Ovis aries: one gene and its partners. The protein of the gene in region 1 purifies or fractionates together with the protein of each later gene. This does not show direct contact. Links are inferred from orthologs where the notes say so. Each region holds a gene or a part of one and is shown on either strand. Other genes may lie near its edges. The genes, in order: SKP2, USP18 and FOXO3.

Region 1 (3,084 bases):
GAGGGCAAGCCTTGTTCAAATAAAGATCAAGTCATATCCTTAAGTTGCAGGTAACCTTTCGTGACTCCAGCTTATGCCACAGTAAAACATTTGCTTTTCCCATCACTAGCTTGCTGGCTTCCCCTCCCAACACAGTGACATTTTTTCAGTATAAACCAAGAGTTGGTGGGGAAGGGGGTGGAATATAAACCAGGAATAGAGAAAGAAAGAAGATATGTTTGGATTTTAAATAAACCTAGGAGTTTTTCGGTTATTAGAAATTCAGTGAAATGCACTTGTGTGTTTCCTAAGGCCATATTGCCCAAGCTGTGGCCTGTGCTTTGTGGTTTGATTCACCTTTGCTATTCCCTCAAATCATTGATTGCAAATTATGTCTTCAGTTTGTTTTGTATAAAATACAGTGTGTAAAAATTGGATCATGTAACTCTAGTGGCACAGTTACCACAGATACTGCTACTCTGAAAATCTCTCCTTCCTTTCCAGTGAACTTGGAGAAATTCCCACATTGAAAACACTACAGGTCTTTGGAATTGTACCAGACGGTACCCTTCAACTGTTAAAGGAAGCCCTCCCTCATCTGCAGATTAATTGCTCCCATTTCACCACCATCGCCAGGCCGACCATTGGCAACAAGAAGAACCAAGAGATATGGGGCATCAAATGCCGGCTGTCACTGGAGAAGCCTAGTTGTCTATGAAGCCTCTATTGCAAGGTGGTGTCTCCTCTTTTCTTTGAACAGGGAAAGGAAGCAGGAAGCCCAATTGTGGAGAGCTCAGCTATTTTTATTCTTGGTTTTCTGTTGCATTCCTTCTACAAGCATATTCGAGAACCATTGAAGACAGAAAACTACGAAGTGTTTGTTGCTTTTCAGAAATGACTATGAAAGCTTTTATCACTGCTATACCTTTAAGAGCCTCAGTTCTACGCTTTTTGAAATTTTAGGGAGAGTGAGCCTATAATTTCAAGATACCTTAAATAGCAAAATTTGAACCACGTCTTCCAAGTGCCATTCTTTATAAATCTATTTAGAATCAAGCTTAAAAATCACCACCAGCAAATCATTTTCGTAGCCTATATGGCAACTGAACATTCTTCTATTTAATTTTTCAGCACTGCTTTATTATAAGACATAGGTTGCAAAAAATAATAAGCTATTTGTATTGTAAGCTGAAAAGAATGAGAATCATAGAGTAGATCTGCAGCAATCTTCTGAGGATGGCAAGAAAAACAGACATTTCAACTGCACCTTTAGATTCACAATCTGGGTGATGGAAACAAATAGCCCCAGGTCATTCACCTTAAAACCTAAGAAACAGTTGGCCAACCAGAGGTGCAGAATTGGTATAGAATTTAAAGGCTCAAGAGACAGTTTTCTATGACAGTTAACCTGGGGTATCCTCTAATGCACATTAATGAGGTCGTCTTTATGTACAGTTGGGAAGGTCCCCTGGAGGAGGAAATGGCAACCCACTCCAGTATTTTTGCCTAGAGAATCCCATGGACAGAGGAGCCTGGTGGGCTACAGTCCATGGGGTCGCAAAAAGTTGGACACGACTGAGCGACTAATATTTTATTTCCTTTATGTACTGTGTTTGCAGCGTTCTGAATTAGCTGAGGAAATTGAATTGTGGACTTCTGACTTTATGTTGACGTGGGTTCTTTAGCTTTTAAAATGACTCACTTTGTTTTAGAGAGGTAGGAACCAGTCACTTCTTTGATTCTTGAAATGTTGGATAGAATCCTGAACCACAGATGCCTGCGTTTTCCTTTTCGCTAAGGTTCTCAAAGTTATTTTTACTCTGGAATCAAGTATTTTAAATTGTCTTTTTTTATTTTATTATTTTAATGGCCTCCCACAATGATTATTTCTAGCAACTTGTTTTATAAAGTTCTGGACCTGGAGTTCCCTAAGAACTGCATGTTCCTTTCAATTAGGAATATACCCTAGAAGAAGGTGTATGTTCCGTGCAGTTTCAGAGCAATAAGCAAGCTGGCACATGCATAAAAGTTAAGACTTGGGTGCTGAACCTTTTGATAGCATAGTGGTTTTTTTTTAATGATACATAGAAGCAAAAGGACTAAATTCTACTTTTAAAAAAACATAAAACATTAACTTCTTGTTTAAATCGATGACCTTCCCGTATATTCAAAATGGAGCAAAAAACCCAAACTCATCATTTCTATTAACATTGCTTTTTTTAAAAATCAGATCTCTGAAATGTTAGAAACAATGTATGAAGTGCCCTTATCTGCTCAAACCTAAGGAAGAACATTCTTATTAAGTAGTGTTACACGGGAAATGATTAGGTTTCAATTTTGTAGTAGTTTAAAAGTGCTACATACTACTTGAAATTATTGTTTACAGATTAGTGACACAGGCTGGGAGGGAGGATCCGGTTGGCCTCTGATTTCCGGATGCCCTCACACACACAGTACTTCCAAACTCAAGTCCAGCCATAAGCTATTTTGCTAACATGTCAGAGTAATCTGTATTTTTGTATGTGATTTCTACTTTTATAGATTTGTTTTAAAATAAAACACATTTTTATAAAAATGAATACTTCAGCTAAGTTGTATTCCTTTTTTCTTTCTCTTTTTCTTAAGCACTCTGGTTAAAACAAGCATCAGGTATGGCGTGAGATTTCTCTCAGCCCTCTGAATGTGTGTGTGCTAAGTCATGTCCTACTCTTGCAACCCCATGGACTGTAGCCCACCAGGTTCCTCTGTCCTTGGGATTTCCCAGGTAAAAATATTGGAGAGGGCTGCCATTTCCTTCTGCAGGAGATCTTCCTGACCCAGGGATCAAACCTGTATCTCCTGTATTGCAGGCAGATTCTTTATCACAGAGCCACCAGGGAAGCCCCAACCCTCTAACAAGGCACTTTAAAACAAGCCGTAACATGGTCCCTTTTGCCCCATCTGCTTCATGTGTTGTCAAATTAAAATGTTTATAATTCTTTGTATGGTTAAAGTGCTTCTTAAAGTATTAACATACTTTATAAGACATTTGAGATTAAGTGATAAGTACCATCAATAAAGTATCAAGTACTATCAATAAAAATCAGCTCGTAGCACTTTTTAAAT
Region 2 (4,135 bases), on another chromosome or scaffold:
TAAGTGGCATAATTAACAGGCTCATGTTAAATGGCTCAGATAACACTCTCTCTTTTCTTAGCAAATATTTTCAATAGTCATAAAGTTATTCCTCTAATGAGGATCAACCTATAAAAGTTAAACTGACAAAGAAAAGATGGCAGTTGACAATTCCATGAGCAAAACCTAGGACTTTGAGACCACATCAAAGGAAATCTGATGAAACAGTAGGAAGGGATCAGCCTGTTTTCCAGAGATACTTACTCTGCAGTCTGCCAGACCTTGAAAATAAGATGGTAAAACCCAGTAGAGGAATCATCTGGAGAGGTGAGAGGCCAGATCCCAAAGAGTCAACAGAGAAAGGCAGGAAACTTCAAAGGTAGTCATAGAGGAGATAGGTAGGTGGGGCAAAAAAGAGAGGAAAGCGAAACTTAAAGATCTGAGGAGGATGGGGAAAGTGAGCTAAGCAAGTGGTGACGGGGGAAAGGAGAATGGATATATTTTGAGGAATATTTTTAAGGATGCTGAATTTTCAAACTCAATGCCTGACTGAAAAATGGGCTCCAAAACAGGATTCTTAGGGCAGTGAGACTATTCCTATTCTGTCTGATACATGGTCGATACATGCCATTATACATTTGTCAAAATTCATAGAATGCACAAAACAATGAACCCTAATGTAAAGCACAGACTTTACATGATAATGACCTACGTTCATAAATTGTAACAAACTGTTTACAGTGGAGGAGGCTGGAGGGGCAGGAGGTATATAGGAACTCTGTGTACTCAATTTTGCTGTGAACCTAAAATTGCTCTGAAAAATAGTCTCCTATTTAATAAAATCTTAGGTTCCAAAGAACAAAACTAACAACCCACTCTTTCTAAAATTTTTACACTTATAAATGGGAGATGTGAAGGACAGAAACAGCTGGCTTAGACTAGCCACCACTGCAGCCACAGAAACAACCAGAGACTTCAGAGAAACAGCCTAAGACTCGACATAGGAAACCTGGGCTGGCCCCGGGTGCTAACTGGGCTCTTCACTCACTAATAGACTCTCTGCAAGGAAAACCAACTCCGTCCTTAAATGCCCAAAGAGGATCAAAACCTACATGCCTGGACTGTGTGTGATGCAAGCCTCACAGTCCAAAAGCAACCCATCATGGCAACAGATCCAGATCTCGTATTTCATGTTGGTGTGTGCTGCTCCAGTAACGGTAATGCGCTGGGCACAATGACTGGAACACTCCAGATGAAACCTCTTTGCAAGCTCATCACTATATTTAATATAAAAGCATCCATACTGTGCACCGAATTTTTATTGGTTTAAAAAAATTAAAGGTTTTCTTTTTTTCCCCAGTTCCTTGATAGAGATCCAAAAAACAGGATGAAGCTGTGTAACTGTTAGCTGATGGCCTGTCTGGTTCCTATGAGCACAGGAGACCTCCCAAATGTCCAGGCTGAAGCCCCCACCTCACCCTCACAATGTAACACCAAATGGAAAGTATGTATCAGTCACTCAGTCAAGTCTGACTCTTTTGTGACCCAGTCATGTCTGACTCTTTTGTGACACTGTGGACTGCAGCCCACCAGGTTCCCAGGTCCATGGAATTCTCCAGGTGAGAATACTGGAGTGGGTTGCCATTTCCTTCTCCAGGGGATCTTCCCAACCCAGGGATCAAACAAACCCAGGTCTCCCGCATGGCAGGAAGATTCTTCACTGTCTGAGCCACCAAAAAGAAATATTTTAAATATGTGCCCCTATTTCAATGATTTCAAAGTATAGCTACCTCAGTGCTGTAAGGCATGAAAGTAAAGGCTCTACTTTAATTTTCAGAACACGTTTAGGTCCAGATTTTCAGAGGTCATAGAGTTTTAGGTTTAAAGGTCTAAATTCAGACTAAAATATTCTGATTTGAACAATTTAACAAAATCTTTCAAATTTTTCAGTTTGTATGCCCACTGACCCAGCAATTCTACTTATAGGAACTCTCCACAAATATGCTTATATATTCACACAACTGTGACTATAAATGATACTGTTGTATCATCCATACCGCTAAAAACAGGAAAGAACCCAAATGTCCATGAAGTGTTTAAATAGAAAGACGTACCTCTCATATTTTTCACCAGTTTTTAAAATGAGGTGGACCTACTGTATCTCTTGCCATGGAAAGATGTCCATAATATACTGTTAGGTGGGGGGAAAGCAAATTTACAGAGCAATTTTGGAGTTGTACATATAAAAATTTCTGGCTAGGTAACCAATAAAATGATAGCGAGTTGAGGATTAAAAGAAACCTTATTTCTATCTCAGGTTTGTCTGCATTTTTTGGAATTTTTTTTACAAACTTCGACAGTTTTGCAATTTCTTCATTAATTAAAGTCATGCAAGGAGATGGTATGGGGAGGGAGGTGGGAGGGGGTTCAGGATTGGGAACTTATGTACACCCGTGGGGGATTCATGTTGATGTATGGCAAAACCAATACAGTAATGTAAAATAAAGTAAAATTAAAAAAAAAAGTCTAAATCAATACATCAGCGTGAGAAAACTGCATCGATCCAATACACCTATTAACGAATACAGGCCATTATTATAATCCGCGGAGCCCAAATAAATCCCATCAGTATCCACGAGGCAATGAGCAGAGCCCCGCCTTATCTTCACCACCAAACTTGCCTTAAGAGCCGCGAAGCTTCAGACCCGCGCTGCCAAGTCGAACGTGGGGGAAGTACAGCCACAGTGTGGGGCCCTCCAGGAGGCTGCGGGGCTGGCGCAGCGGGCGACGCCCGGTTCGTCCACTTCGGTCCCCCCCGGCTGTCCCCGCGCCTCCCTACTCACCTCGGTTCCCTACTTCTGGCCCTCTGGGTCGCCGCGGACGGGCGCCCTTGCATCAGGACCTCTGTCCCCGCCCATACCCCCGTCCCCGCCCCGTCCCCGCCCCGTCCCTGCCCCCGCCCTGGCGCTAGGCTTTCGTTTCCTGCGAACTGAAAGCGAAACTCAGCGGAGGAAGCGCTAGTGAGCACGAAGTCCGTGCCCCCGCAGTTGGTTTCGCGTTTAAACGTGCGCGCTGTCTGCAGAACACGGCCTAAACTGGTTCCTAGAGTGAGCTCTTGTTTGGACATTTTAAGATCTCCGTAGTCATTCGGAGGTGTTTTACAATCGTTTGGCATTTCGTAATACACGTGGCAGCATTTTTTTTCTTTCTTGAAGCAATGATCTAATTTCTTAAATTGGGTATCTTAAAATTGTCTGGCTTGTAGATTCGATGACAGACGGTAGATAGATGCAAGACGAAGCCCGCTGTCCTCTGGTGCCCCTGGGGTGGCGCGGGGGCGGGGACGGGGAACCCGCTGTGACGCAGAGCTGGTGGGGAACAGAAAGTGAACTGTTCCACCTTAGACCCTCACGTACACTGGGTCCCTGAGAAATGCCAGGCTCCCTGCTGCTGCTGCTGCTGCTGCTGCTGCTGCTGCTGCTGCTGCTGCTGCTGCTGCTGCTGCTGCTAAGTCGCTTCAGTCGTGTCCGACTCTGTGCGACCCCCATAGACGGCAGCCCACCAGGCTCCGCCGTACCTGGGATTCTCCAGGCAAGAACACTGGAGTGGGTTGCCATTTCCTTCTCCAAGGCACGAAAGTGAAAAGCGAAAGTGAAAGTGAAGTCGCTCAGTTATGTCTGACTCTTAGCGACCCCATGGACTATAGCCTACCAGGCTCCTCCATCCATGGGATTTTCCAGCAAGAGTACTGGAGTGGGGTGCCATCCCTGCTAAGCTCTAAACCTAATTCAGTCTATATGACAGGTTCCTAATAGAGGCCCCATTTTTATTTCAGTTTTATAGGCGCGGATACTAATTTTCAGAGAGGCTAAGTGGGACTTCGCAGATGGTCCAGTGGTTAAGATTTCCCCTTCCAAAGCAGGGGGTCTGGTTTGGTCCCTGGTCTCCCTGGTTGGGGAGCTAAGATCCCACATGCCTCACGGCCAAAACACAAAAACATAAAACAGAAATGATAAAACACATTAAAAATGGCCCACAGCAAAAAAAAAAAAAAAAAAAGAGGTTAAGTGACTTCACTAAGGTCACAAGATTACAAGGGATGAAGCCAGGATTCCAGAGGGTCTTAACCCTAATTCCCACTGCCACCCTTTGATAT
Region 3 (4,180 bases), on another chromosome or scaffold:
CCCTGAGGGGAAGGAACCGAGGTAGGCGCCGGAGCTGTGAGCGGGTCGACCGCCTTCCCGGCGACTCCGGATCTGCTTCTGAGCTGGGCCAGGCGCTTCCCTTTTCCCTCCCCGTGACTCGGTGTGCGCGCCCCTCTTCTCTCCCGCTAGTGTTTTTAAAGGACTTGAGTGAAGGGGGGGAAACTGTCAAGATGGCAGCAGCGGGAGCAAGGAGGTGAAGAACGTGCTGGTCTGAGCTTTCTGGCGGCCCGGGAGACTTGGTGCTTCCTGACCTGTTGGAAGATTTACGTTCCGACTTGCCCCCTTCTCCCGTTCTTCACTGGGAAGGGGGTGTAAGGCACAACGCCCGTGGGAGAATAAGCCTCACAAACCCCGAAAGTGGCCGTTGCCGCTCGGCTCGACCCTTGGCAAATACCCACCGAGCTGCTTGCCCTCCTTTTTCCCGGCTTCCCCTTTTTCTGGAAGTGACAAGGGCCTGTTTGCGCTCGGACCCACGCTTGCCCTCTCAGCCCGCGGGCAGAGAGGGAAATAAGGAGCTTCCCGCGCCGTCCCCGGGCTCGAGCCCTCCGCTGGGAGGGGGTGGCAGAGGGGCGCGGAGGCAGCAGGGCCGGGGACTGGAAGAAGAGCCGAAGACGCCACAGACTTTGGCGGCGGCGTCGCGGGAAGCACTTGAGCGGGCCCGAGCGAAACATAAACAAACGCACGCCCGCCCGCCCGGACTCGGGCTCGGACCGCAGCTGGGCTGCGCCAGCGCCGGCTGCTGCCCGCTTTAAAGGCGCGGCCCGCGCCCCTCCCCCGCCCCGCCCCTCCCCCTTCTTCCCCGCCCAGCCACCTAGCCCAGGAGAGACCTGCAGCTCCGGCGGCGGCGGGGGAGGGGGTGCCCCGTGCGAGCCCGTCGATTCGCTCCCGTCTCCCCAGCGGCCTGGTCTGGGGGCGGCGTCTGCTGCGCCAGGTTCGCGGGACGCACGTCTCCAGGTCTGCCTGCTCCTGGGAGGCGGGCGCGGTGCGGTCGCGAAGCGGTGGCGGCGGCGACGGCGGGCGAGGACTCGCCGAAGACTGGGTTCCAGCCCGGGATAACCAACTCTCCTTCTCTCTCCTCTCGTGCTTCCCCAGGCGGCGGCTGTAGCGGCGGCGGCGGCGGCGCCGCCTGGGAGCCCGAGCCTTCTCGGCGCCCCCGTCCCTCCCCCGCCGCACCCCGCCCCGGCGCGAGAGGAGAGCGCGAGAGCCCGAGCCGCGGGCGGGCGGGCGGGCGGCGAAGATGGCAGAGGCGCCGGCCTCCCCGGCCCCGATCTCTCCGCTCGAAGTGGAGCTGGACCCGGAGTTCGAGCCCCAGAGCCGGCCGCGCTCCTGTACGTGGCCCCTGCAGAGGCCGGAGCTCCAGGGGAGCCCGGCCAAGCCCTCTGGGGAGGCGGCTGCTGACTCCATGATCCCCGAGGAGGAGGACGATGAAGACGACGAGGACGGTGGCGGTAGGGCCGGCTCGGCCATGGCGATCGGCGGCGGCGGGGGCGGCCCGCTGGGCTCTGGGTTACTCCTGGAGGACTCGGCCCGGCTCTTGGCTCCTGGAGGGCAGGACCCCGGGTCCGGGCCAGCCCCCGCGGCGGGCGCGCTGAGCGGGGGAACGCAGACACCGCTGCAGCCTCAGCAGCCACTGCCACCGCCGCAGCCGGGGACGGCTGGGGGCTCCGGGCAGCCGAGGAAATGCTCGTCGCGGAGGAACGCCTGGGGGAACCTGTCCTACGCCGACCTGATCACTCGCGCGATCGAGAGCTCCCCAGACAAACGGCTCACTCTGTCCCAGATCTATGAGTGGATGGTGCGCTGCGTGCCCTACTTCAAGGATAAGGGCGACAGCAACAGCTCTGCCGGCTGGAAGGTGCGTACCCACCTGGGGCGGGCGGCCGGACCCGCCGGGCCTCCTGCGCAGTGCGAGGCGCGTCTTCGATTCGACGGAGCGCTCCTGAGGGCGCGGGGGAGAGGGGTTGGCAGGGAGAGCCTCCGCTGTGAGGTTTTGGGGGTTTTGTGTGATCCCGGAGGAGGGGCAACCGGGGACGGCCGCGAAGGTGGCAGGAGAGAAGGCTCCTGGGGAAACCTCAGGCATGGCCAGGTGAGGCGAGGGGTTGAGGGACACCGGCGAGGGAAGGACAGACGGACCGGAGTGAATTTGCCGGATTCCTGGGTCATCGCAGAGAAGGTAGGTCTGCGGCCAACTTGGGAGTAGAAGTCCCCCATCGTGGGGGTGCGGCGAGGCCACTACGGGGGGAGTGAGGGAACGGGTTGGGAGGAGTGGATTTGTGGTTTTAAGTCAGTCGCTGAAGCGTGGTGTGTTGTGACTACCTGGATGAGAACCCTTGTGCCCAAGTTTTCGGGCTTGTGGGGTTTTCGCTCCCACAGGCACATCAATCCAATTACAAAAAGCGGTGGTTGTAAACCTCTTCCTGGCCGGTTTCCTTTCCTTGCCTGTGTCCACACCTCTGTTCTTCAGAGATGTCTCTACAGCAGGTAGCTTCTGAGGTGCTTTGGGGCCTGGCACGGGCCAGCCCTTTTACCTCAGCGGGGACTCGCTGCACCTGCTGGCTTCTGCGCAGAGGTCCGGATTCTGGCGCTGTTTGAGGCAGAGGGTCCAGGTGCCCAGGACCCGCGCCTGGCGCCTCACCTGGGCCTTGGGGAGGGAGGTTTGCTGGCAGGGCTGGACCGTAATGGCTTCTACCTGTAAGTGAACCTGAAGAGAGGCTCTCTACTGTTCGTTTTCAGCCTCTTGGGGCACTGGACACGTGGTAGGGAGAGAGGTGTGGAAAGGCCTATGATGTAATGACTTCCTGCAATTGGGCATCCAAAGAGATTAACTCCTGTGCCCCTGCTGGGCCGCTGATACCCAGCGGCTTTGCTCTTGCACCTCATCCTCCTGGCCACATCTCCCAAGACAGGAATGCATACCAGGCTAAAGGGAGCCCTGTGCAGCTGTAGACACATATCTTTCTGTCTGTTGCTTCTAGTAACAAGTTGGATTTTTTTTTTTTTTTTAATTAAAAAGGTGGTTGCTTCCTCCTTCTGTCCCTTCCTTTGTTGTCTTTGGGGAGCTCTGTACTTCCTAGATTCCAGTGGGTGTATAAAATAAGAACAGTTTGACCTTAGGTGGAGAACTGAAGCACTGGAGAGGAGCTAGTACATGAAAAAGCTAAAGAATTTAGTGTCATTGACTTTTAATTTGGTTTAAAAAAATCTTGAAATATGCCTTAAAATTTTTTTATGCTTAGTATAGGGAAAGGGTTTGATACTTTAAAAGGAAAACAAGTGCTTTGATATTGTTCCACAAATCTATCTCATCCTTGAACAAACGCTGTTATTATGAATCTTAGGTTCGATTCAGTTGTATTGCTTTGCAAAAGAATGCCAGTTTTGTGATAATAGGATATTTATGAAAAGGATGAGAATTCTGTTTCAAAGCAGTGCTGATGTGATACTTTTAAAAATTGAGTTTTCAAGTGGATAGCAAGGGTTGATCTCAGTGTATAGTGTTAGGAAGGGATGAATTTGTGGGATCTAAGAAGATGGATTGGGTGGGGTGTGGAGTCTTTTCCAAATTTCTCACACTTGAAATTTAGTCCTACAAATTTTGGATTTGGTGCAGAGAATCTGTTAGTTAAAAGTTAGCTTTAAGTTAGTTAGAAAGTTAACATAGCAAGGGTTTTCACCTTTTTTATGATTTTTAAGGTTATGAAAGTAGTTTTCCATAAGTAATATTTCTTGCATCATGTTTATGGTTAAAGATAATACCAGTTTATGGCATTTGAAAGTTTTTTTTTAAGACTTATGTGGGAAAGTGTGGCTACCAAAAATAACCATGAATTGATACTGAATTTATTATATTTTCACGTAGCTTACAGGATCTGCAATAGAGATTTGGGGCCTAGTCTTAAACTTCGTGGTTTTATATCTTAACTCTTTTTGGTCTCATGGTTTGTTTTTTCCTTCTCTGCTATCTCATTTTTCTTTAACTAAAATCTTATGAAGCATTATAAATTGAAACTGTCCAGCAGTCATATGTTTAATACTGGGTGCATATTTTATGAATATTTTATCTTTAAAATTTTACACCAGGTCCATTTCTGATTATCGCATGATAACTAATCCTTGAAGACTATAGAGATATAATTGAGTTAGAGTTTTTGCAAGATGA

Evidence for each region.
Region 2: the proteins of SKP2 (region 1) and USP18 purify together in Homo sapiens (affinity purification with western blotting; 4 studies listed by BioGRID and IntAct, with this or other methods). This does not show direct contact. The link is inferred for Ovis aries from reciprocal best matches to the Homo sapiens genes SKP2 and USP18.
Region 3: the proteins of SKP2 (region 1) and FOXO3 purify together in Homo sapiens (affinity purification with western blotting; 3 studies listed by BioGRID). This does not show direct contact. The link is inferred for Ovis aries from reciprocal best matches to the Homo sapiens genes SKP2 and FOXO3.

Annotation. Positions count from the first base shown.
Region 1 is NC_056069.1:38,199,550-38,202,633, reverse strand, and holds the end of SKP2 (S-phase kinase-associated protein 2), read left to right. Parts: intron 1-483; coding exon 484-697; 3' UTR 698-2,558; downstream 2,559-3,084. UniProt on the Homo sapiens protein: Substrate recognition component of a SCF (SKP1-CUL1-F-box protein) E3 ubiquitin-protein ligase complex which mediates the ubiquitination and subsequent proteasomal degradation of target proteins involved in cell cycle progression, signal transduction and transcription.
Region 2 is NC_056056.1:181,613,142-181,617,276, reverse strand, and holds the start of USP18 (ubl carboxyl-terminal hydrolase 18), read right to left. Parts: upstream 2,898-4,135; 5' UTR 2,823-2,897; exon of another isoform or gene 2,661-2,822; intron 1-2,660. UniProt on the Homo sapiens protein: Interferon-induced ISG15-specific protease that plays a crucial role for maintaining a proper balance of ISG15-conjugated proteins in cells. Regulates protein ISGylation by efficiently cleaving ISG15 conjugates linked via isopeptide bonds.
Region 3 is NC_056061.1:28,920,075-28,924,254, reverse strand, and holds the start of FOXO3 (forkhead box protein O3), read left to right. Parts: upstream 1-1,258; coding exon 1,259-1,876; intron 1,877-1,969; exon of another isoform or gene 1,970-2,194; intron 2,195-4,180. UniProt on the Homo sapiens protein: Transcriptional activator that recognizes and binds to the DNA sequence 5'-[AG]TAAA[TC]A-3' and regulates different processes, such as apoptosis and autophagy.